Linked DNA regions of Bombyx mori. The protein of the gene in region 4 purifies or fractionates together with the protein of the main gene of each other region. This does not show direct contact. Links are inferred from orthologs where the notes say so. Each region holds a gene or a part of one and is shown on either strand. Other genes may lie near its edges.

Region 1 (6,366 bases), on a different chromosome or scaffold from region 4:
GCGTAATTACTGGTGGTAGGACCTCTTGTGAGTCCGCACGGGTAGGTACCACCGCCCCGCCTATTTCTGCAAGGTGTGTGGCGCATTTACGTTGTAGATGTCTATGGGTTCCAGTAACCACTTAACACCAGGTGGGCTGTGAGCTAGTCCACACATCTAGGCAATAAAAAAAAAATGATTTCATACTTATGAAGAGTGTCATGAAAATATCAAATCAAATTGGTGAAGATGGACTGCTGTTTACATTAGAGTAAGAAAGCATGTGATTTTTATATGTATATATTCACTATAAATATTCATTCAAAATAAATAAAAATAGAAAACTAAAAATCTTTCATTTTGCAATTTAAATCATACCTATTTGTTTTGTAGAAATAGGCAAAATGTTCTCCATTCTTTAGTTTTTACAAAACTTGTCTCGAGGGCCAAGCCAAATTTCACATGACAAAGTCACATCTATACTTACACATGTAAAATAGTGCAATCAAATTATAGGTATTGATCATTTCATCAATAATACATACCCTGTTCCATTCAGAATTTGTATGAGAGTACGACTAAACCCGCATCTTGGAGTTTCCTTGTTCCCTTTCATGAATACCATTATATTATGCTTATTTATTAAAGCTTTTAGTCGATCTTCAAGTTTCTGAGGGGTTATTTCTGCAGGACTCTTATTAAGACTCTGTGCTTTAATTTTTGTGCTAATTTGAGCAGCATCTGCTCCATCAATCCTGTCTACTTGAGTTCCATTCTTAAATAATATAACTGTAGGCACTGAATCTACCTGAAATAAACATAATCATTAATAAGTTGTCTAAAACAGGCTTTCCCTATTTTGATTGTTTTCATTATAAATTATTTCAATATTCAATTACATAGGCTCTTTGATTGCTTAACTGGTCTAGTGTAGTGTTTCCTAAAGTAGTCTATTTCAATCTGAAGAATGACATAAAGTCTTTAATGCATAGTTGAGTAACCAAAATCAAGATACAAATTGATGTATCCATAAAGGTATATAAGCCGACTTAACCTAATAAGTGTATGGCTTTAATAAATAATAAAAAAAGTATACACAGGTATTGCAATAGGTGACTTAATTGTCTGTGCTTTATGATGCACTACATTTTTAGGGTTAGCACTTATTACTTTTTATTTAACAATATATTAGCAGAGCATTACCTTATATTGCAAGGAAACTTCAGAAAGTGCCTCGGCATCACAAACAGCACATTGTGTCTTGCTCGACTGAATTTCAGGAAGTTTTAAGAGTTCTTCAAGTACATCTGTAACTTGTTTACATTGTTCGGCCCATTCTGCTGAAAAGTGTACTACTCCAAGTGCAGGTGATCTAAATTAATTAAATAATTTTTGATATCAGCCAATACCAAGATAGATATTAAAGAATCATCTTGTTGTGATAAAAGATTAATTGAAAGTAATATTCTCAATTTTATATTCTAAATACATATTTCCATTTCAATGAATGCAAAATGTTGACCATCCTGCTACATAGTAATTTATTATCTAACATTTTTACCTATTTACTGTGTATTTAATTTAATTTCTTTTTATGGCTTATTTTTAATGATCCTTTCACAAACGGTTTTAAAAGTACTTTTTTATTAGCGGTGATTCTTACCTTATAAAATTATTAAAATCTTCAACAGAGTCCAATTTACTGACCGACATTTCAGTATACTATGTTTAGGTTACTTTAATAAATTTTGTAAACAGTATATAAGCGCCACTGGATTACAGCAAGATTGAATTACAATTACAGCAAGATCCGGAATCGTAGGTGTACTCGATGCAAAAATTACAATTTATTTAATCATGTTCATTCAGTTTCTGACATCTCTGATTAGGGATGTGGTCTAAGATCGATACTTGAGTAAATTAATTTGTTAACAACTTAAATCGTGAATAGTGAAACATCTTAAGCAGTAGAAAATCGAAATTTGATGAAAAGGCATTAATAAAGTATTTATGGTTCAACTGATTATGAATATATTAAATATAATGTTTATTAAATTTAAATTTACATTTTAAATAATAATAATTTAAAAAGTTGTTGTATATAAATCATGTATTTATTAAATTTTTTGAATGAATTTGTTGTTAATTTCTGTTTGATTGATTTTTGTGTCATTTTGGTTGCACTTGGGTATTTTCTAGAATCGATTTTTCAAAATTTTGGTCTGAAGTCGAATCATCATCTCTATTTCGAGCCAAATTTTTTTGTTTGATTTGTTTTTTGGACAAGCAAAAGGAGTCATAAATAATAAATAGATGTACACAATAAGGAGTTTTAGCAACACAGCGAAGTTATATTATGTCATGTATATCTTATTTATTTAAAATCGCTTAGCCATCTTATTGTTTACGGTTAATGATCAAGCTTAGTGGTAGATTTTTTTGTGTCTGAGCCAATTTTTTTGCTAATTTATATGGTGATTAAAAGGTTTGCTTAGTCATTGCTCTCTCGAAATGCTCGCAACATAATTGTTAACTTATAAATTTATTAACCTCTTTAATACGATTTTCGTTAGCGGTCAAATTGGTAGAAAACTACCAATATGACTAGCCAAATTGATACACACTAATAAATCCAGTTTAGTTTCTGTAAATTCTCAACATTTTACTAAGAGGTTTTCTTTATCGATTTGTTTTTTTCACTTATTTGGTGTTATAGGCAGAATTTGTTTGCATGTCAATTTGGACCAAACAAGTAAAACTGTCAAATTGACATATTCTGACTGAAGTTTTGGATCCTACCCGAAATCTACCTATTTTGAGGTTAGAAAAAAGAAATAGTCTTAGGATCCTACAAAAAACTAAATAGAATAACTAGAAACGTGTGTTAAGTTCTTTTATTATTTCCTTTTATTAATATTTACAAAGATGGCATCCGGTTCAGGCACTCAACAAATCGATTTAAACAAACTACCTTTGCCTCAACTAGCTCAATTGAAACAGCAGTTAGACCAGGTATGTATAAAGGAAATATCTATAGAGCTATTTTAGAAATAGTAAGCATTAAGTATTATTTCTTCAACATAATATAATTTATACAGATAATTATTAAATGTCGTAACTATTAATGTCCTTAAGAGACAGGACTTATGTCCTATTTTAAGGACCCTCATGAAAGCCGGAATGAAAACATTTCCATATGTTTTCTGGTCTGAGTTGTGTATCTAGGTGTACTTGTTAGTGACATGAACCCGGACCTCAAATACCAACTCACAAAGCTATGAATCTAAGATATGTTAAAGAGAAGACTTCACTGAATGTGCTCATTTTTGGTAGACAAGCAGTCATCATGTTGTTGTTCTGATCTTTTATTGGAAGACTATTTCGTAAACAGTCAGCTTCAGGTCATATCCGCTTTTCTTTATTGTATTGTAGCTATTGCTATAATTAGCCAGAAATGGAACATCAAACATAATGACTAAATTGAGGGAGACATTTTTTTTATTGCTTAGGTGGGAGGACGATCTCACAGCCCACCTGTTGTTAAGTGGTTACTGGAGCCCATAGACATTTATGATGTAAATGCGCCACCCACCTTGAGATATGTTCTAAGGTCTCAAGTATAGTTACAACAGCTTCAAACCGAAACGCATTACTGCTTCACGGCAGAAATAGGCAGGGTGGTGGTACCTACCCACGCGGAATCACAAGAGGTCCTACCACCAGTGAAAATGTGTCTGTATGTTAGTAACTGATGTTATGTTACAATATGCATTAGTAAAACGTCTGCCCTTTAGTCTTTAGGTCTACTTTGGGAGTACTTGGGCAGCTGTTAGTAAATCTGACTCCTCCTGGCTGCTCCCATGCTTGCCCTGCCTATCTTAGTGAAGCAGTAGTGGCCTCCTTGCAACCAGCTATCTCCATCCGAAAAAAAGGCAATACTCTCACACAAAATCCATAAAATTTTATTTCAGGAATTGACAGTATTTCATGATTCAATACAAACATTACAAATGGCTAAAAATAAGTTTGGTGAATCAGGAGATGTTCTAGAGAAGATGACGCCTGATATCAAAGGAAAACCGATGCTTGTTCCATTGACTAGTTCAATGTATGTTCCTGGCACAATAGCTGATGTTGAGAATGTCATTATTGACATTGGCACTGGATATTACGCTAAGAAAGTGAGTAACTTAAATCTATACATATAAATAAAATTGGAGTGTCTGTTTTTAATATTGAAATAACCGCTTTTTACTACATGCATATGAATATATACAGTACATACACCAAAATAACATTTTTTACAATTTTTGTCTGTCTGCCTGTCTGTCTGTTTGTTCCGGTTAATCTCTGGAACGGCTGGACCAATATTGACCAGACTTTCACTGATAGGTAGCTGATGATATAAGGAGTAACTTAGGCTACTTCTTAGATTAGGTTCGGCCCGCGGCGTCGGTTATTGTCGTACCACGGGATAACATCGCGGGACTCAGCTATCAATAATAAAATTTAATGTTTCCGAAGCGAAGCGAGGCGAGGGGGGGCGCTAGTTAAAAATAAATTTAAACCTAATTTAACACTTAATTCAGCTCCAAGTTTGGCAGGATAATATATCATGTATAGCTGCTGTTTTCATTTCAAACCTCATTTCAGAAAATGTTGAGTACTTTAGAATATTGGTATGAAGATTGAATCATGATATAGTTTCAAATAATTTCAAATTAACTGCATGGGTTACCCCTTAGGGCTAATGATGCTGACATATGTTTGTATTACGTTTTATTTCTGCTTCTAGGACATTGAAAGTGGCAAAGATTACTTCAAGAGAAGAGTAGAATTTGTTACAGAACAAATGGAGAAAATAAGTATGTTAGGTGCAGAGAAATCGAAACTCCGTGAAGCTGTTAATGCATTAGTTGAAATGAAAGTTCAAAACGAACTACAAGCAAAAAAAGCTAACTCTTCATAACATATCTGAGACTTAATTTAAAAAATATTTTGTGGAGAGATTCGTGTCCTTTTAATGTATAGAGTTGACCTAAATTTTCTGCTTTGTTAATTTATAGTTTATTTAAAGTATTTTAATTACTTTTTAAAACATTTTAATGATTACATCTTAGTGTTAAAAGTGGAATCATTTGTGTTTTGTTACCACGTATCACCCTGTCCTAATCAAAGTGGTTACTATTGCTTCTGTACATCAGTGATTTCAGAGCAAAGCCAAGTTTCTGAATGTATTAACGTAATCCCAACAGCTATGACTTATACTGATATTTTCTAATGTAAAGCTAGATAATATTATTAAGCCACATCAAAGCTTTTCCTCACATTTTCTTTAATTTTGGATAAATTTTGAAACTAATTACCTAAGGTAATATTTTGTGTTTAGAATACTCCTCAAGAGTACTACTCAATAGCATCAAGTAATGTTAATAATATTCTTAATTCATGTTTTGTAATTTTGTAAAGCTTTATATCATTTCAAACTATGTGTTTTACAAGTACAAGACTCATTGCTTAGTTTTAAATTTAATTCAATGTAACAAAATGTGCTTATGTTTAAAATAAATATATAAATATATTTCCAAGTTTTACTTGAACGATCCAGTATAACAAAAAAAAAACGCGGCTAAAACAAACATCAGCAAAAAGTGGCTTCTTTTTTTAAGATATATTCTGATACTGTTTTAAATGTTTTAATGATCTAATTATTGAATTCTGAAGAATAACACCCTGTATTGTTGTTGTATCTAGTAATAATCAAATTCTAGAAGGATAGTTACATACTCGTATAAATGTAATTTACAACTTTCTTACACAATCCATAGATGAGTCGACTATTATCAAAGCCGGCAATCTGACTTTTGGACAATTATTGGTAAATTAGAAAAACGAATTATTGACTTTGTATTCCATTGGCAGTCACAAAACTCCTCGGAACGACATCTTAGATAAATAACAGGTTAACTATTAACCTTTATTTAATGCAGGTTTTGAACCGTATTCTTTGAAGGAGACGATTATATTCAAATCAATCTGTATTGACATATCAATAACATTTTTTTGTCCAAATGCACAGATTGCCACCTTTGATAATAGACGACTCGGATGTCGCCTTTGTGTATTGCTAAACTCTTCTTTCTATAACTTACTAGGGACCCGCCCTCGCTTCGCTTCAAAACTGTAATTTATTATTGATTTCTCCACTACTTAATGGATGTTATTATACATATAAACCTTCCTCTTCAATCACTCTATCTATTAAAAAAACCGCAACAAAATCCGTTGCGTAGTTTTAAAGATTTAAGCATACATAGGAACAGACAGATATAGGGACAGAGAAAGCGACTTTGTTTTGTACTATGTAGTGATGATGATGATTAATGC
Region 2 (4,984 bases), on a different chromosome or scaffold from region 4:
CAGAATATACCACCGGATTCGAAATGCGACCCACTGAGAAAATCCGGCGAGAAACTCAGTGAGCTTTGTCTATGGATTAATTCGCTCGTTGAGCCCTTCGTCGCGAGCAACGGGTTCGGCGAGGACGGTGACCGGTGTTTGAGATACCTAAAAGCACCGTTAATGGATTCGTAATGACGTGTTTAGGGCGACGTCGACTGTTTACCATTCGGTCCACAGGTATGTAATTTCCGACGGCCACAACAAGAGTGTTTTTGTTTCGTACTGTTTTCTCAAAGCGGCGAGTTGATGCCGACTGTTTAAACTTACTGATTGAGTCAAGCTCCAGGTCATCATGGAGAACCACATTCCTTAAAAACCACGGTGCTTGAAGGGGTTTCAAATTAGTGCGTGAGGGATCATTACATTTGCGTCATGACCGGGCGTATGCAAGTTTTGTAGGTACCTTATTACGAAGGTTTTCGTAATATTGTCGAGTGTTATAGAGATAAATACTTGGTACTGTAATCCAGGTATCGATTTAAATTTAGCACTTTATGATATTGTAGTTGGTAGATAGGCTGTTCTCTACAGCTTGAGCTTTTAACCAGCGCTGGTTGTTGGCTGGAGTGATCTACAAGTACTGTTCCAGCTCCTTCAAGAAGTCAGGCATCTTCAGGTTGATCAGGTAAACACAAGAAGCTCACCATAAGTAGCTCTCTGCATTCAAAAAGGCTAGTCGCAGAGAACTATGGATGATATCCTAATTCAGTAATGAACAGTGACTCAAGAAATGTAGACTGCATAAAAAGAAAAGGTATTTTTTTTAGAAAGTTACAAACTTTATTAATACTAAAGTTACAGTTTCTTGGGATTCATTAGGAACAATATAATTCTTAAATTGGGTACAAAAGCTTATAAATGTGTATTTTTTTTATAGTGACACATTGTAACTTCAATGCCTTTAGCTTTATGTAGCTTAATGCAGGAGAATGAGTATCTTGAACGTGATTAAGTTGCACTATGTTGAGATTCAAGACACAATTTTTTTTATGCCTGTATTCTTTATGAGCAGTATTAATTATTGAATAAATCATTGGAAACATAATTAGAATAAGTTTATTAAATTACATTTGTGCACTTTCTCCACTGCCAGCTTAAATTATGCCGACCATTTGTATACAAATGCAATACATAACATTTGTAATAGGTATTTAAAAACAAAAAATTACCCAATTTTTTTTAGATTGTCATATGGTTTTAGGTTAATATACAAAACTACTGGTAATAGAAGCGAACAATTATTCTAAGATGAATCTGGTTTCAAAACTAATGGTACTCATTATACCGTCAATTACCTTGCAAACTTTCAGCTTATACACACAAAAATAAATATGTACAAGTAACAAAATATTTTAGTTTTGAAAATAAATAATAAGTAAATAATAGGCAGCAGTTTGGCTGTGCTCCTGGCATATCTGATGTCTATGAGTGATGGTGACATCAGGAGGGCCACAAACATCTGCCTGCAATGGCAGTAAAATAAAAACTTACTTTCAGTAAGATTTTTTATTTTTATATTGAGTTAACAAAAGGAAGAGGTAAGTTTAGTGTAATGCCACACAGCAGTTTTTTCATGATTATTGCATAGCTAAACATACATTAAATTATTAATGTGTAATATTTTTATTTGTAATAGTAGTTCTCTAAACATACAAGTGAGTCATAATAGAAGAATAGAAATATTTTACTTTTAATTCACACATTTTTCAAGCTTTTAGTTTTAGTTTGCCAAGATCATTTCTAAGTTTATTTAAGTTTTCTTGCAGTGCTTCTTGTTTGTTTTCTAAAGCACATATGTGATCATCTGTTCTTTTGATTTCTTTGCTAATGTACTCCATACGTTTGGAGACGTTTTGTCTGGCTTCTTCCAAATCTTGCTTCACCAATACGGGTCCGATGAGTTTGTATACCTCTGAATCTTTTCTTAAGAGTTTTAGTTCCTCTTTGACTGCTTTATTTTCATTTAACTGGCTGTCTAATTGTTGTTTCTGAGTGACCGCTTTCTTTATGTCTTTTTGAACACCTTGAAATAATTCGAGCTGTTTTTGAAACTTTTTTTGTATTTCTTCCGCCATTGTGTTTCAGTCAAGGTATGATTTGATAGAAAATAAACAGTTTAATACAGAAATCTTTTCCGTTTTTTTTCACCTGCTCAAAAATTTTAGTTGAGGTTATGTCTCAAATATATTAAGTGTATAATCTATGGGTTATGTGTGTATTCTCTATGGTTTTGTCATTTGTCTGACATTGATTTTGAAATTAACCATAGATAATACACAAAAAATTTCAAGTGTCACTACGTACCGGTAAAATGGGGCGATTAGGGACAAATTCCAACTTTATGACCAATTTTAAGGTAGATGTTGATGTATATAATGCTATATCAGGATCGAAATGATTGAGTCTTGGGGGCATCTTTGTTGTCCAATTTAAAACTATGCAACTAGCATTCCAGTTTAAGCAAAAAAAGCAAAAATAGGTGTAATCCCTATTTACCCGAAAATTGCGGTTAATTGGGACGAAATGAGAAATTTGCTAGGGCTGCCACTACTTGGTTTTAATTTATTTATTTATTTAGTTGCACCAACAAAGTGATCATCAACTTGATTACATTTATTTACTTATGATTAATTTATATTTACTTGAGAAATGATCCGCGACAGATTTGTCCTGTAAGTTGTGATACAATTAAAAAAAATTTATTTCATCACTTAAAATTAGTTCAGCGTAATCGGACAACTCCGAATGAACATTGACGGAGACCATGCTACCGTGGACATTATTGTAGTCCCAAAGGAGAGTAAGCTTTCTTATAAACGGTTTATATTTTTTCGTTCTTGGTAAGTACTTAGGGGCTGATATTTTTATCTGGGTTAAGAGATTAGGTGTGTTGGTTATTCCATGGATTAATCAGATGAATACCCCCACTCTGAACAAATATTAAATATTTTACTATGTATTACTTAGACATTTTTGTCCACCTTGACATTTCATTGTTCTTGTTAGATGTCTGTGCAAAATCGACTTACTTATATTAAATTGCTTAGCTATTTCAACTAAAGACTTATTCCCAATTTCAAAGGCTTCTATTGCTGTTTTTAATATTAAGGGATCATATCTCTTTTAAGGCTTTGCACTCTTTAATACGTACACGCGAGGCATTATCTAAAAATAGAAAACAGTACGTAACTGATAATATAAGTATTTACCAAACAATAAAATAACACATTGATAATTTTGAATAAAAGTTCTAGACAAAAACATCATGAATAAACAAGATTTTTACCAACAAATTTAAAAAATATTGTTATAACTACATAGACAACCCTACAAACCTGTACCTATTTATACTCAGCTCGTTTCCATTTCACGTATTCTCATCCCAATTGACCCCTTTTTCGTTGTTATTTGTACCTAAGACGTCCCCAATATCCCCAAAAACAACAGATTTTTACATGTATTTTTATTTTATCAAATACATTAAAACCAATAACAACTGAGACTTACCTTTAATATATATGATGGCTCAAACACTAAATAACGTGTATAAATCACAGTCGTCTTCTATTAATATCAAATAAATAAAAGAGAGCAAAGTTTCTAGCACCAAAATAATGACCACCACAGGAAGTTAATTTGAAACGCGATTTTTTATAAGTTAGCAGCTATTATCATGCATATTCAGAGTTGTTTTGTGAACTTTCAACATTCTACTATTAAACTAGAAAAAATGGAAGATTTTGCAACGAATATAAAACTAATATTGACTGTCGAAAGATTTTCCCGGTTTTTTCCCAATTCGCCTCTCAATCCCTAATCGCCCCATTTTACGGTACTGTTCGTTGTGTGAATTTTCTTGAACTTCTTTCTATCGAAAATAATTGGGATCATACACACGTCGACTATATTTAACAGATTTTCTTAATTTTTAATGATGAGTTCGAGAGCATCCCTTTCACTCGGTCACGTGAAACAGATTAACAAATTAAAAAACTATAAATTACGAGTCCAACAAGGCCAGTACGCACTTTTCGCAGAGGTTCCGTCTTCACTCCTATTCAGCAGCGAACCATAGGGGAGTCTTGTACATTGTCATGAGAACATTGTGGAACATTGATATTTGAAGGAAGCCTGTGGGAGGCTTAAACGACGAAAGGAAGATCTTCCACCGAGCGGATGATATTGCTCGGTAGACTGACGGTCTGAATGTTGTTGTTCGGAACTTGTTTAAATGGAAGCTTGTCTTGAAAATATCGTAAACAAGATTCAGGTATCTATCAAATATCTTGCGTTGTATGATAGCTACCGTCACAAAGCCGGCCGTCGTTATTAGGCGGGGGCCGATTTCGAAATGACGACCAATGTTGCCACGAGCCTCCATTTGGGGGTACTAAAGTTGCACCACCACTACGATGCGGATGTCATAGTTAACGAGATGGGCAACACGGCGACGGTGGCGGATTTCGAGGCCTGTGAAGCAACAGGTCCTGGGTTTCCTTGAGCGCCACCTTGAGGCCCAGCTCCATAATTTTAGACTTACACCCGTATCTTCAGTCGTTTACACGAGCTTAACTCAACTCGACTCAACCTCCAACCCGCGTTTTGGTATGATTAGCATAGACCTATATAGTAGGGACACGACATATTGTTCTATACGTACAATTGCTTATATAAATAGCACCCATTTTGAAGGCACATACATAAACATATATCTATCTCGTTCTTACTCAGCACTTTAACTCGCAGGAAAACAATATAACAGTATTTCAGTGCGTACATAAAATGAAACATGAATATACGTAAATATCTCCGTCTCCGTCTAATGAGGCCGAAAATCCGCCATGTTTAGCGCGCCAAATGTCATTGTCACGTCAATTCGGCCGTCTGTTTTGGGTTGTACATTATTTATTGACTTTGATATCGATTTAATATGATTGATTAT
Region 3 (4,627 bases), on a different chromosome or scaffold from region 4:
ACCTGGAACTAACCAAGTTTCTGATATGGCTAGTAAAAAAATATTATGTGAATTAATTAAAGATATAATTTCATGTTTTTTAGGAACTATGCTTTTACAGTTCCACTGGAGGACTCTGTCCATATTTAAAAATATTGAAAATTGATAGTGAAATATTATTTATAAGTGAAAGAGCAACGTGTTCTGGTAGTTCTGAATTAGCAATAATATTTATAAGTGTGGATAACAATTTATTTAGTGTGTCAGAAGATGGCAACTGTGTATCCTTTTCTTTGTTGGATTGCAAAGCGGAACCTACTTTACCTTGAGACTCATCAAATGAAATGCTGCGGATCAATGATTTATATTCTGATTTGACATAACCCTTATTTAAAATAGATGCCTGTTTAGGCTTCTTTATAACAGTTTTTTTGTAAGAGACAGAATTTGAACTATCTACATCATTTAAACTTTGGGCAGATAGTGGAATAGATGATGTTATTTGCGAATATGATTTCTTTACAATAGGAAACAATTTAGAGGCTTCTTGGTATGAAATGGGGTTTTGAGACATATGTTTTTTAATATTTGTTTGTCTACTAAACTCAGGGCAAGATTTGTTTGTAGCCATATGTTCACCTCTACAGTTAACACAAGAAAAAGTCTCAGTATTACAAGCCAGTCCGCTGTGCTCTCCAGCACATTTATTACATCTAGGTTTGCTCCTGCATTGAACACGAGTGTGTCCAAAGCGACAACAATTGAAACATTGTACCGTTGGATAAATATACTGTTCAACTGGAATACTTGAAAAAAAGGAATACACTCTAGAGGGAAGAGACTGTCCGTCAAAAGTCAAGACCACAGTTTGAGTAGGAATCCATGAAGTTCCATCTGAGTTGACAGACTTCCTGTTTAATCTACGGGATTTGATAATTTGTCCATAGCCTTCTGGGATTTGCAGATTGTCTACAATGTCCTCATGAGTCCACTCCTGAGGGATACCCTTTATCAAACCCATTTTACATATATTATATGTAGGAATCACTACATTATACAATGGATTCATAGACATGTTGGCTATGAAAATATTGGCATCACTATGTGTTTTAAAAGTTATTGCCAGGCGATTACGACCTACTCGTTTAATTCCATCCTGTAATATATTACCAAGATTGCTTTTCTTTAGAAAATTTCCAAATTTAAGTGGGTGCAGTGATGTAGTACTATTAGAATCTGAGATTAAAGTAACATGGACCATATATGGGCCGGGATCCTGTTCAGTGTATTTTTTTCTGTAAACAGAGTCAGCCATTGGGGTCTCAGATGGTGTCATAGAAGGACTCGCTGAAGTAGGCTCTGGTGAGGTCTGTACAATTTGGCGAGGAGGCACTATAAGCTTATTTACGTTATTTGCAAGATTTCCCGCCAAAGCCTGCTGCAGCGGGCGCAACGAAAGTTGTTTGTCCGAGATCTTTGGTTTAAAAGAATTAACAAGTTGTTTCTTTTTTTGGGATTTCTTCGATTTAACGTTGACAAATTCAGATACATTGGAAAGGTCGAACTCATCACAGAAAAATATTGGTTGGCTAAACCTTGAGTTAGTCGTATCAGTTGTCTCCTCAGTAATATTCGGATCCGGGGGATCCGTTCCCGCCTCCAACTCCATACTATCTACACTAAAGTACTAAAATATACAATTATAAACTAAACATATATACAGTTATAAACTAAAATATGCTACAATATCTACAGAATATCAAATTAAATTAATTAAAAAGGATATGAAATTTTTTATTGGCCCTCTTCTCAAGTTCCGTCCCAAATTTTTTCAGGAGTGAAGTTGTGTGATTTGTTTTATTTTTTCTATTTAGTGTTTCTTCGGGTTTAAATGTGTAATAATGGTGGTTTATTAACTGTTTAATATCTGTGAAAGTGCACAAATGTGGGAAAATGAAACAAAGCCAATGGACGTAACTTCTTGAGATCCTCCAAAAAGTCCACTGAAAAAATCTTAGTGAATGACCACCATTTTACTGAGATTATATTTCATCCCATTTCATTTCATTTAATTTCATCCCAGTTGATTAATGTCTTAAATTAGTCGTCTTCATCTCATTTCACTCCATAATATCATTTTTCATAAAAATATGAATATAAATTAAAATAAGACATGACTTAAAGGTCTCAGTTACCAGGTCATAAAATCCCTTAAAAAAAAAAAGTGACATCAGCTGGCTTCGTTTAAAAATTAAAAATACGAACAAAAGTTATTAAACATGCACTAAACATGGTAAATAATCAAGAAAAACTATTGAGGTATTTAAAACAAATAGAAACACTTGCATCTGATATTCTTGTTGATAAAAATGAAATTATAATGCTAGATAAACGAAGAAATAAAAATCGAGAAGCGTTAAGAGATCTTACTAAATCAAGTCAGAAGAAATATTGGCTCACGGTGGGATCAATACTCGTAAAGCATAAGTTTGAAGATACTAAAACTCTGCTGGAAGCCGATCAAAAACAATTAAATATTGACATAAACAAATTGAGGAGTGACCTGAAAATCAAAGTCAATACATTGAGAGATCTGGAAATGCAACCACCAGTTCCAGGCTTAATGTTAGTACCTCTGTCCCAGAAAGAAACTGAAGGATTAACAAAAAGTAATTTATTTTCTTTGTAATGGAAAAGTAAAATCAAAACTTAAAATAGTAACAATATTTAATTTTGATTATTCAGAAATGGAGAATGCTACACTATTTTATTGAGGTAATAGGGGTTTCTGAAATTTTGCTGACTGTCATGTATTTAATGAGTAGACCATTATGAAAGTTCATGTCAGAAGGTAAAATTATAATAATATATTATTATGGGCATCCCTCGTATAACACAGTGCTTGTAAAACCCAGTTTTGACATTACACAGTACAAGAATTGAGAATAATCTATGATTGTTTTATTTTTACACAAGTTCAAAAATATAAATATATATTGGATTTTTTTTTATTTGCGTTTAAAAATGGAAATTTCAACTTTATTGCTATTATGAAATCTCCCATTTCATACTGAGAAATGTCAGAATGCATTTTGTTCATAGTAAATGAAATTGATAAAAGTTTTTGCTTTTGTTTTTAATATTTTGGAAAGTAGTGACAATTGAAAGAAAGTAAATAATACCTGTCTCCTACAAGTTTATATGTTCATAATGATTTCAAATTGTGGTCCATAAAAGATTTAAGTCAGAATTTTTATGGTCATTTTAATTTTGAACCTTTAAATTTAAATGTTTGACAAAATCACGAAGCAAACGAAAGCTACTAAATATCAGTGTTACTTTTATTTTTAAATTTATATGATTCTTTTTCAAAATAAATGTGTAACATTAATAGGAGTATGCAAGTATAGAGGGTACAGTTAAGCACTACTGTCTTATCGGGGACAAATTGAATAAGTAGCAACACAACGGAAAAGCCACCAAAATACCACTCACATACCAAGTGGTATGATATGAATGTAGCAATTATAAATGGAAGAATGTGTGGTAAATAAAAAAAATTAATAACTTTTGTTGTCATGTTTAAGATTACACCACTTACTATGGTACCACCCTGATTGCTCATACTCTTTTATACCTAGACAGTGTTTCTTACCTTTGCCCCGTATAGATGAATGGAGTACTATGAAGGTTCAACAGTTTTTGAATCAACAACACTTTTATTATGTCACTGATAACGTCATTAACTTTCTATGCGATGACCTATTGAATTAATTTAAATTAAGTAAGTATAGTGACTACATATTTTAAAAAATATTCAATTTTGTTTTTTCAATTAATGTACACCACCACCTAGTGTTGAACTGCGAATAGGGAACCACTTCAACACACAAACAAAAAAATCATTAAAATCGCTCTACTGTTTTAAGACTTCAGTGCAAAAGATCAGTGAAAACTTTTTTGGAACCTCTGCAGTGGGACTTTGGTTCACTGTATTTTGTAGCATATGTTCCATGGAGCACTTTGTTCTGAGGAATTGTTTGAGATGATCCCATCATCTTATTTTGGCCATCGCACCGCCCGCCCCCGGAGTAGATTTCATCCATACTACCTAGAACTACTGCATTCATCCACAATGAGCTTCCCGAGATCTTTTTTGCCACATACCATCCGGCTTTGGAGTAAGCTCCTCTCTACGGTGTTTCGCGAGCACCATCACATGTCTTTCTTCAAACGAGGCTTGTGGAGAGTACTTTACGGTAGGCAGCATGTTAGCTTTGCCCCTGGTATTGCTTACGTCCATGGGTGATGGTAACCACTCACCATCAGGTGGGCCGTATGCCCGTCTGCCTACAAGGGCAATAAAAAAACATGAGGTATAGTGAAATTATTTACGGCATAATTAAATCAACTATTTATTGCGGAGATTATTTATCTTACGTCAAACTTAGTAACAGTTTCCTCCTGGTAATTGTATAACCTAATAGTTGCAGGACGATCTTAGAGAAAGAAACACGCATATTATTGCACCCCAAAAGCATTTTAAAGACGAGCAGTAGAATCATGTGGAGAAACTACAAATATTTGTGTTAAAAACACAAACTACGAATTTTTACCGACCAAGGGCGCAAAACTTGTACTGTGCGTC
Region 4 (6,128 bases):
TTTGGTTGCAAAAAATATAAAGCTAAAGATGTGTGTAAACAAATCTGAGAATAATAACTTTGAAAATGTTTTTTATTAAAAACTCATATTTTTTGTTACCTAAATCAAGCACTTGATAAGTGGAGAATACAACAATAATTTAAATATAAAATAAATTCGTAAAATTTTACTTCAGAAAAATTTATTGTTTGAATTAATTTTTGTTGACTCAGTCGTAGCTTCGTCTAACAATTTATATATTAGATAACTTGGTATTTCTTGATTTCTAGGTCTTTCGAACACTAATATTGCCAATATCTCGAATGAATAAAGTAACTGTGTTTACAAACAAGTGTCTACGCGTCACCTGCTATAGACAATCACTAGACCGAGAGAAAGGCGCTTTCCACCAGTTGTATCCTACTTATTCGACTGCACAATTATTTTGCCTCATTTAGTGACTGTCATAATAGTTTAACAATTAGAAAACCATACATTTCTGAATAGGTACAGGAAATTAATGACTATACTATATGAGTCGTCTATTATCAAAGGTGGCAATCTGTGCATTTGGACAAAAGTTTTTTATTGATATGTCAATACAGATTGATTTGAATATAATCGTCTCCTTCAAAGAATACGGTTCAAAACCTGCATTAAATAAAGGTTAATGGTTAACCTGTTATTTATCTAAGATGTCGTTCCGAAGAGTTTTGTGACTGCCAATGGAATACAAAGTCAATAATTCGTTTTTCTGATTTACCAATCATTGTCCAAAAGTCAGATTGCCGGCTTTGATAATAGTCGACTCATATCTGATATTTTATTTTAATGTAATCTATAAAAATAAAAGATTTTTGTTCAGTTACTGCACTCAAATAATGTACGTATTTAATTAAAAATTAAAGTTTGTGTTTTATTGTAATGTTAATCATATTTTTATTCAATATGATAATAATAATATATTATTAATTCTTAAATAGGTAACGGGTTTTGCATACCGGTGGCGGTTCTGATGTGCTGTATACTTCAGAAGGCGGATATTCCGGCTTCATAGTTATTGTAGCCATCGAGTCTGGCTGGTGTTCTTTTTCCATCACGACCTAATACTGTTTATCAAAATTTATTTATTGCTCGTCTCTGGGTAACGCGCACTGTGTCTGATGTTCGAAGTTGAAGTGCGGGTCTGCGGACAACTTAGGACAAGTGAGTGGTGTCGTCGAGCGTAGGCGCAGAGAACGGCCGTGGTGGGGTCGCCGGTCGCCCGCCCGGTTTTGCATTCTTATACAATGGCTGAAAATACCGCTTAGATCCATAATAAAAAATCCGTATCAGTATAATATTGCTCTATTCATTTCATTCAGATCATTCGAAGCATCAATCAATCAAGGGAAACACACGGCACAACGGTATCTGATATTAAATTATGGGTAATATTCTAACTTATTTTGAAATAATGAAAAGGATAAATAAATATACCCAGATACGTTCCAGATGAACTTATCTGGGTATTTTTATTAACATAATATATATTCATTTGTAGTAATTCTCATTCAACATTCTCGTTTTAGTCTCCTACCTCCGAATTTTTGTGTTGAGTGGAATGAAATCGTTATCTTTCTTTTTATCTTTCTTTTTATTTAGGAGTCTTTGTAGACTATGATTCCCCCGTCCAGCCTGCTTCTACCGTGCACATTCAGGTATATACCGATACATTCGTCAAATCTTTAATAGGTATACGAAGTCATTCATATTATAGTTAGGGCTGCTGAGCGCTGTGAGACATACCCGATCCTGTAGATCGAATGGTAAGCAGTCGACGTTGCCCAAAGCACGTCATTACGGATCCTCCCGATCCATTAACGGTGCTTTTAGGCACCACAAGCACCGTCCTCGTCGAACCCGTCGCTTGCGATGAAGGGCTCGACGAGCGAATTAACCCATAGTCATAGCCCACTGAGTTTCTCGCTGAATGTTCTCAGTGGGACGCATTTCCGATCTGGCGGTAGATTCTGCGAAGCACTGCTCTTACTAGGGTCAGTGTTAGCGTCACTCCGGTTTGAGCCCGGTGAGCTCACCTACTAGTTAAGGTTACGCTGAAATAGCCTCTCAAGGAGGGACTTCGGTTCCCTCTGTATTTTGTACCGTATGTTCCATGGGGAGTGCTCTGAGGAATTGTTCGAGATGATACCGGCATCTCGTTTTTACCATCGCACCGCCCGCCACCGGAGTAGAGTTCATCCATACTACCTGGAGCCACTGCGGTCATCCACAGTGCGTTTCCAGAGGTCTTTTTTACCACGTACCATCCGGCTATGGAATGAGCTCCCCTCCACGGTGTTTCCCGAGCGCTATGACATGTCCTTCTTCAAACGAGGCTTGTGGAGAGTATTAAGCGGTAGGCAGCGGCTTGGCTCTGCCCCTGGCATTGCTGAAGTCCATGGGCGACGGTAACCACTCACCATCAGGTGGGCCGTATGCTCGTCTGCCTACAAGGGCAATAAAAAAAAAAAAAAAAAAAAAAAAATCAAGGCTTAGGTAGGAAAAATAATTTTGTAGAAGTTTTTTTTCCACCAAGCTGATCCAATGTCAATTTTGTTGTTCGAAACTTAGGTAGTCTAATGAGTCATAATGAGCAGGCACCATCTTACTGATAGGTTGTTCCTTTTAAAATCAACCATGCTGTCTCATCTTATGTTGAATTTGGTTACATTTTATTCCATTTAATCATCATCAATCATAAAATCAATAAACATCCAAAATCAATTACTATTCACTCCGTTCGGCCTTCGTTACAAACATGGCTTTATAGGCTAAGTTCCTTTTGCCTATTCAATGAACAAATTACGCTTAAAAAAAGTGAACAATAATGAACAATTTCGATTTGAGGTTAAGCGCAGCCGAAATTTAATGCTTTATGTTTAAATATTGATAGTAAACATGTCAACTACAGCTAAAGGAACTTTTCAGCCAGTAAGTAAATGTGCAATACTTATTTTTGTCAAAACATAACAAGCAGAAGAAATTTACTGTATTAATTAACCATATTGAGACCATTTTAGGTACGAAACATGAACATTCTATTGAATTTCATTTATTTTTCTCCTCGGCATTCTAGGACTCTGATGTACACATTTCATATGAAGATCAACAAAAAATTAACAAGTTTGCTCGTCTCAATGCTAAAGTTGACGATTATAAGGATGAGCTCAAAGTAAAACAAAACGATGTAAAGAACCTAGAAGAAGCAGTTGAGGAACTGAGCCTTGCTGATGATTCTGAAAAAATCCCTTACCTTATTGGTGAAATTTTTATTTGTCAGAATTTGGAAATTACTTTGGTAAGACTATCACATTAATATTCTTTAAAATTTCATTAATATTATATATTTTATTAACTAAAAGTAAAATAGTGGTCATTTGATAAAAGAAAGTTGCAGCAGTTTATCCTAAACTTATTTATAAAATAATGTATGTTCAATCTGATATTAATGCTTCAGTAAAAAGCGAATACCAAGAGAATTATTTAAATATTTTTCAGTGCATATCTCAAAAACAAAAACTCACTCATCTTTTGACAGATTACTTAATGCATTTTGTAGGATCATATACAAGCCTTAAGTTCATAACAAATTTTTTTGACCCTTTTAGTGCTAAGCTTGTTAGATTATAGATTTTTAGAAACATACAATTTTCTCTTTCTAATATATAAAAGTGCCTTATTTGTAGGTTAAGCTTGATTGAAGATTAGTTAAATATTAATCCAACTGAAAATTGAGAACTAAAAAATATCCAACTATCTAATCTCATTTTATATTTAAACTTAACACTTAACTCAATAAATAAAAAAGGGTATATACCCTTAAATAATATTATATATGAGTCGACTATTATCAAAGCCGGCAATCTGACTTTTGGACAATGATTGGTAAATCAGAAAAACGAATTATTGACTTTGTATTCCATTGGCAGTCACAAAACTCTTCGGAACGACATCTTAGATAAATAACAGGTTAACTATTAACCTTTATTTAATGCAGGTTTTGAACCGTATTCTTTGAAGGAGACGATTATATTCAAATCAATCTGTATTGACATATCAATAAAAAACTTTTGTCCAAATGCACAGATTGCCACCTTTGATAATAGACGACTCATATATATTTAAATCTAGTATTATAATTTTATTCCAGAAAAATCTTGAGGAAGCTAAAGCAAAAAAAATACATGAAATTCATGATTTAGAAGAAAAATGTGAGGAACTAAAATCACAAATGAGTGACTTGAAAGCACACTTGTATGGAAAATTTGGTAGCCACATTAACTTGGAAAATGAGGAAGATTGAAACAACATTAATTTTGTTCACAAAAATTGTACTCATATTTTAAGCTTTTAAGTTACATAGGCTTCACATCAAATAATTATTGTTATTCTAAACTTTGTTGTTTTTACACAATAAGAATTTATGTTTCTTAATTCGAAAATTGGCTGACCTACTTCAATGCAGTTTAAAATTACAGTAAAGACTTATTAAGTTCAAAGAAATGGTCCTTAAATATAGAACAAAATATATTATTGTTGTTATCTAGATTTGTGGAATATGTATACTGATTTTTCACTTAAGTTATTTTCCATTACTATAATATACACATCAATTATTTATTATCACGATAACTAAATATGTTTTAATAAATAAATAAAAATATAACAGACATCATTCTATGATGCATTTTCATAAAAGGGAAACAAAGTACATAATAAAAAATGTTATTACTTGAATAGTGGTACATAGCTAACCTTGTGCTTATGTAGTTATGTTGAAGGTGTGAAAATGTTTTGGGAGTTACTCCAAAATTGATATCTATCTTTTTTAACTTTCAATAAATAATTAAACATGAAAGTTGCATTCGTGACTTGTCAACTTATTCAGGTCTTGTATTTTTATTGAAATATATTATACTAATTAAAAGTTTCATTATTACAATAGACAGTAGACGTACATTAGTGAATCCCAGTCATGCTATGCTGTCACTATTAAGCTTTTCTGAGGTGTTTTACACAACAATACCTTATATGATATAGAACTGTTATTTTTTTTTATTCCTAGGTGGGTGGACGAACTCACAGCCCACCTGGTGTTAAGTGGTTACTGGAGCCCATAGACATCTACGACGTAAATGCGCCACCTACCTTGAGATATAAGTTCTAAGGTCTCAAGTATAGTTACAGTAGTACAGTTATAAGTAGTCTTTTTGAAATAACACACCACCTTTTTAGTTAGAAAAGGACAAAGTACACTTTCCCTCTCTTTAAAATCAAGGGCATACCATAATATTTAAGGTATACGCTTTAAGGCTTTAAGTATTAAAAACTGAAAAATTACAACTCTTCAATTACATTTTTGGCTTCTTCAATTTCAATTATATTTACCAAAAAACAAGAATTTTGCCATAAGTGCGATGTATAAAGATTCTAGTTGTGTTCCCTATACGTTACTAAACCGTTGATTAGGTAGTAATAATTTTATGATAATTAAATAATAATAAACCTTAACCTTATTAACTGAACTCATTTGTATTAATGTCATATTTTCATAGAATCTAAAATCGAACCGCTCATCTCACCACTGCATGTAATCGATAAATTATAATTGTATTAAAATTTTGTGTGAGATTAGTATGTGTTACTTGTGATTTATTTTGATGATGCATAATAATATGTGGTTGGAGCTCCAGGAGAGGTTTCTGTCATAGTACCATAAACATAAATAGCGCATGAATAGTTTCAAGAAATATATCTTTTTCACACAATTACTTATAGTCACGGCAAAGCGTGACCAGGATTACTAGCATAAACATAAACCTTAAAATTTATTATCACAAAATTAATTTGATTAATACAATCATACTAATTTATCAAACAAATAAAGCTACTAATCATAATACTAATACAATATAATACAGAAGAAAAACACATTTTATGTGCACCACTATTTTATGTGCAAATATACACCACCGCAAAATACAAAGCTTCATCATTTCCAATATCGACAAAACAAAATGGCATATCTGAAAAAATCTCAGGCAATTTTTGGTGCTTCGAATTCTTTGGTGTGTTTTCCATTAAGTACAATGTCTCGGCAACACATT

The links.
Region 1: the proteins of probable prefoldin subunit 4 (region 4) and prefoldin subunit 5 purify together in Homo sapiens (affinity purification with mass spectrometry; 5 studies listed by BioGRID and IntAct, counting the BioPlex papers as one, with this or other methods). This does not show direct contact. The link is inferred for Bombyx mori from reciprocal best matches to the Homo sapiens genes PFDN4 and PFDN5.
Region 2: the proteins of probable prefoldin subunit 4 (region 4) and prefoldin beta subunit purify together in Homo sapiens (affinity purification with mass spectrometry; 6 studies listed by BioGRID and IntAct, counting the BioPlex papers as one, with this or other methods). This does not show direct contact. The link is inferred for Bombyx mori from reciprocal best matches to the Homo sapiens genes PFDN4 and PFDN6.
Region 3: the proteins of probable prefoldin subunit 4 (region 4) and p53 and DNA damage-regulated protein 1 purify together in Homo sapiens (co-immunoprecipitation; 3 studies listed by BioGRID and IntAct, counting the BioPlex papers as one, with this or other methods). This does not show direct contact. The link is inferred for Bombyx mori from reciprocal best matches to the Homo sapiens genes PFDN4 and PDRG1.

What each region holds. Positions count from the first base shown.
Region 1 is NC_085112.1:5,060,759-5,067,124, forward strand, and holds prefoldin subunit 5, read left to right. Parts: upstream 1-2,748; 5' UTR 2,749-2,904; coding exon 2,905-2,991; intron 2,992-3,950; coding exon 3,951-4,160; intron 4,161-4,774; coding exon 4,775-4,948; 3' UTR 4,949-5,560; downstream 5,561-6,366. Other genes in the region: glutaredoxin 3, read right to left, coding at 525-787, 1,183-1,351, 1,643-1,692. UniProt on the Homo sapiens protein: Binds specifically to cytosolic chaperonin (c-CPN) and transfers target proteins to it. Binds to nascent polypeptide chain and promotes folding in an environment in which there are many competing pathways for nonnative proteins.
Region 2 is NC_085112.1:4,986,277-4,991,260, reverse strand, and holds prefoldin beta subunit, read right to left. Parts: upstream 2,249-4,984; 5' UTR 2,118-2,248; coding exon 1,749-2,117; 3' UTR 1,260-1,748; downstream 1-1,259. UniProt on the Homo sapiens protein: Binds specifically to cytosolic chaperonin (c-CPN) and transfers target proteins to it. Binds to nascent polypeptide chain and promotes folding in an environment in which there are many competing pathways for nonnative proteins.
Region 3 is NC_085121.1:8,868,046-8,872,672, reverse strand, and holds p53 and DNA damage-regulated protein 1, read left to right. Parts: upstream 1-2,184; 5' UTR 2,185-2,269; coding exon 2,270-2,668; 3' UTR 2,669-2,928; downstream 2,929-4,627. UniProt on the Homo sapiens protein: May play a role in chaperone-mediated protein folding.
Region 4 is NC_085117.1:12,409,662-12,415,789, reverse strand, and holds probable prefoldin subunit 4, read left to right. Parts: upstream 1-2,616; 5' UTR 2,617-2,919; coding exon 2,920-2,952; intron 2,953-3,097; coding exon 3,098-3,319; intron 3,320-4,171; coding exon 4,172-4,324; 3' UTR 4,325-4,948; downstream 4,949-6,128. Other genes in the region: EN protein binding/engrailed nuclear homeoprotein-regulated protein, read right to left, coding at 981-1,076. UniProt on the Homo sapiens protein: Binds specifically to cytosolic chaperonin (c-CPN) and transfers target proteins to it. Binds to nascent polypeptide chain and promotes folding in an environment in which there are many competing pathways for nonnative proteins.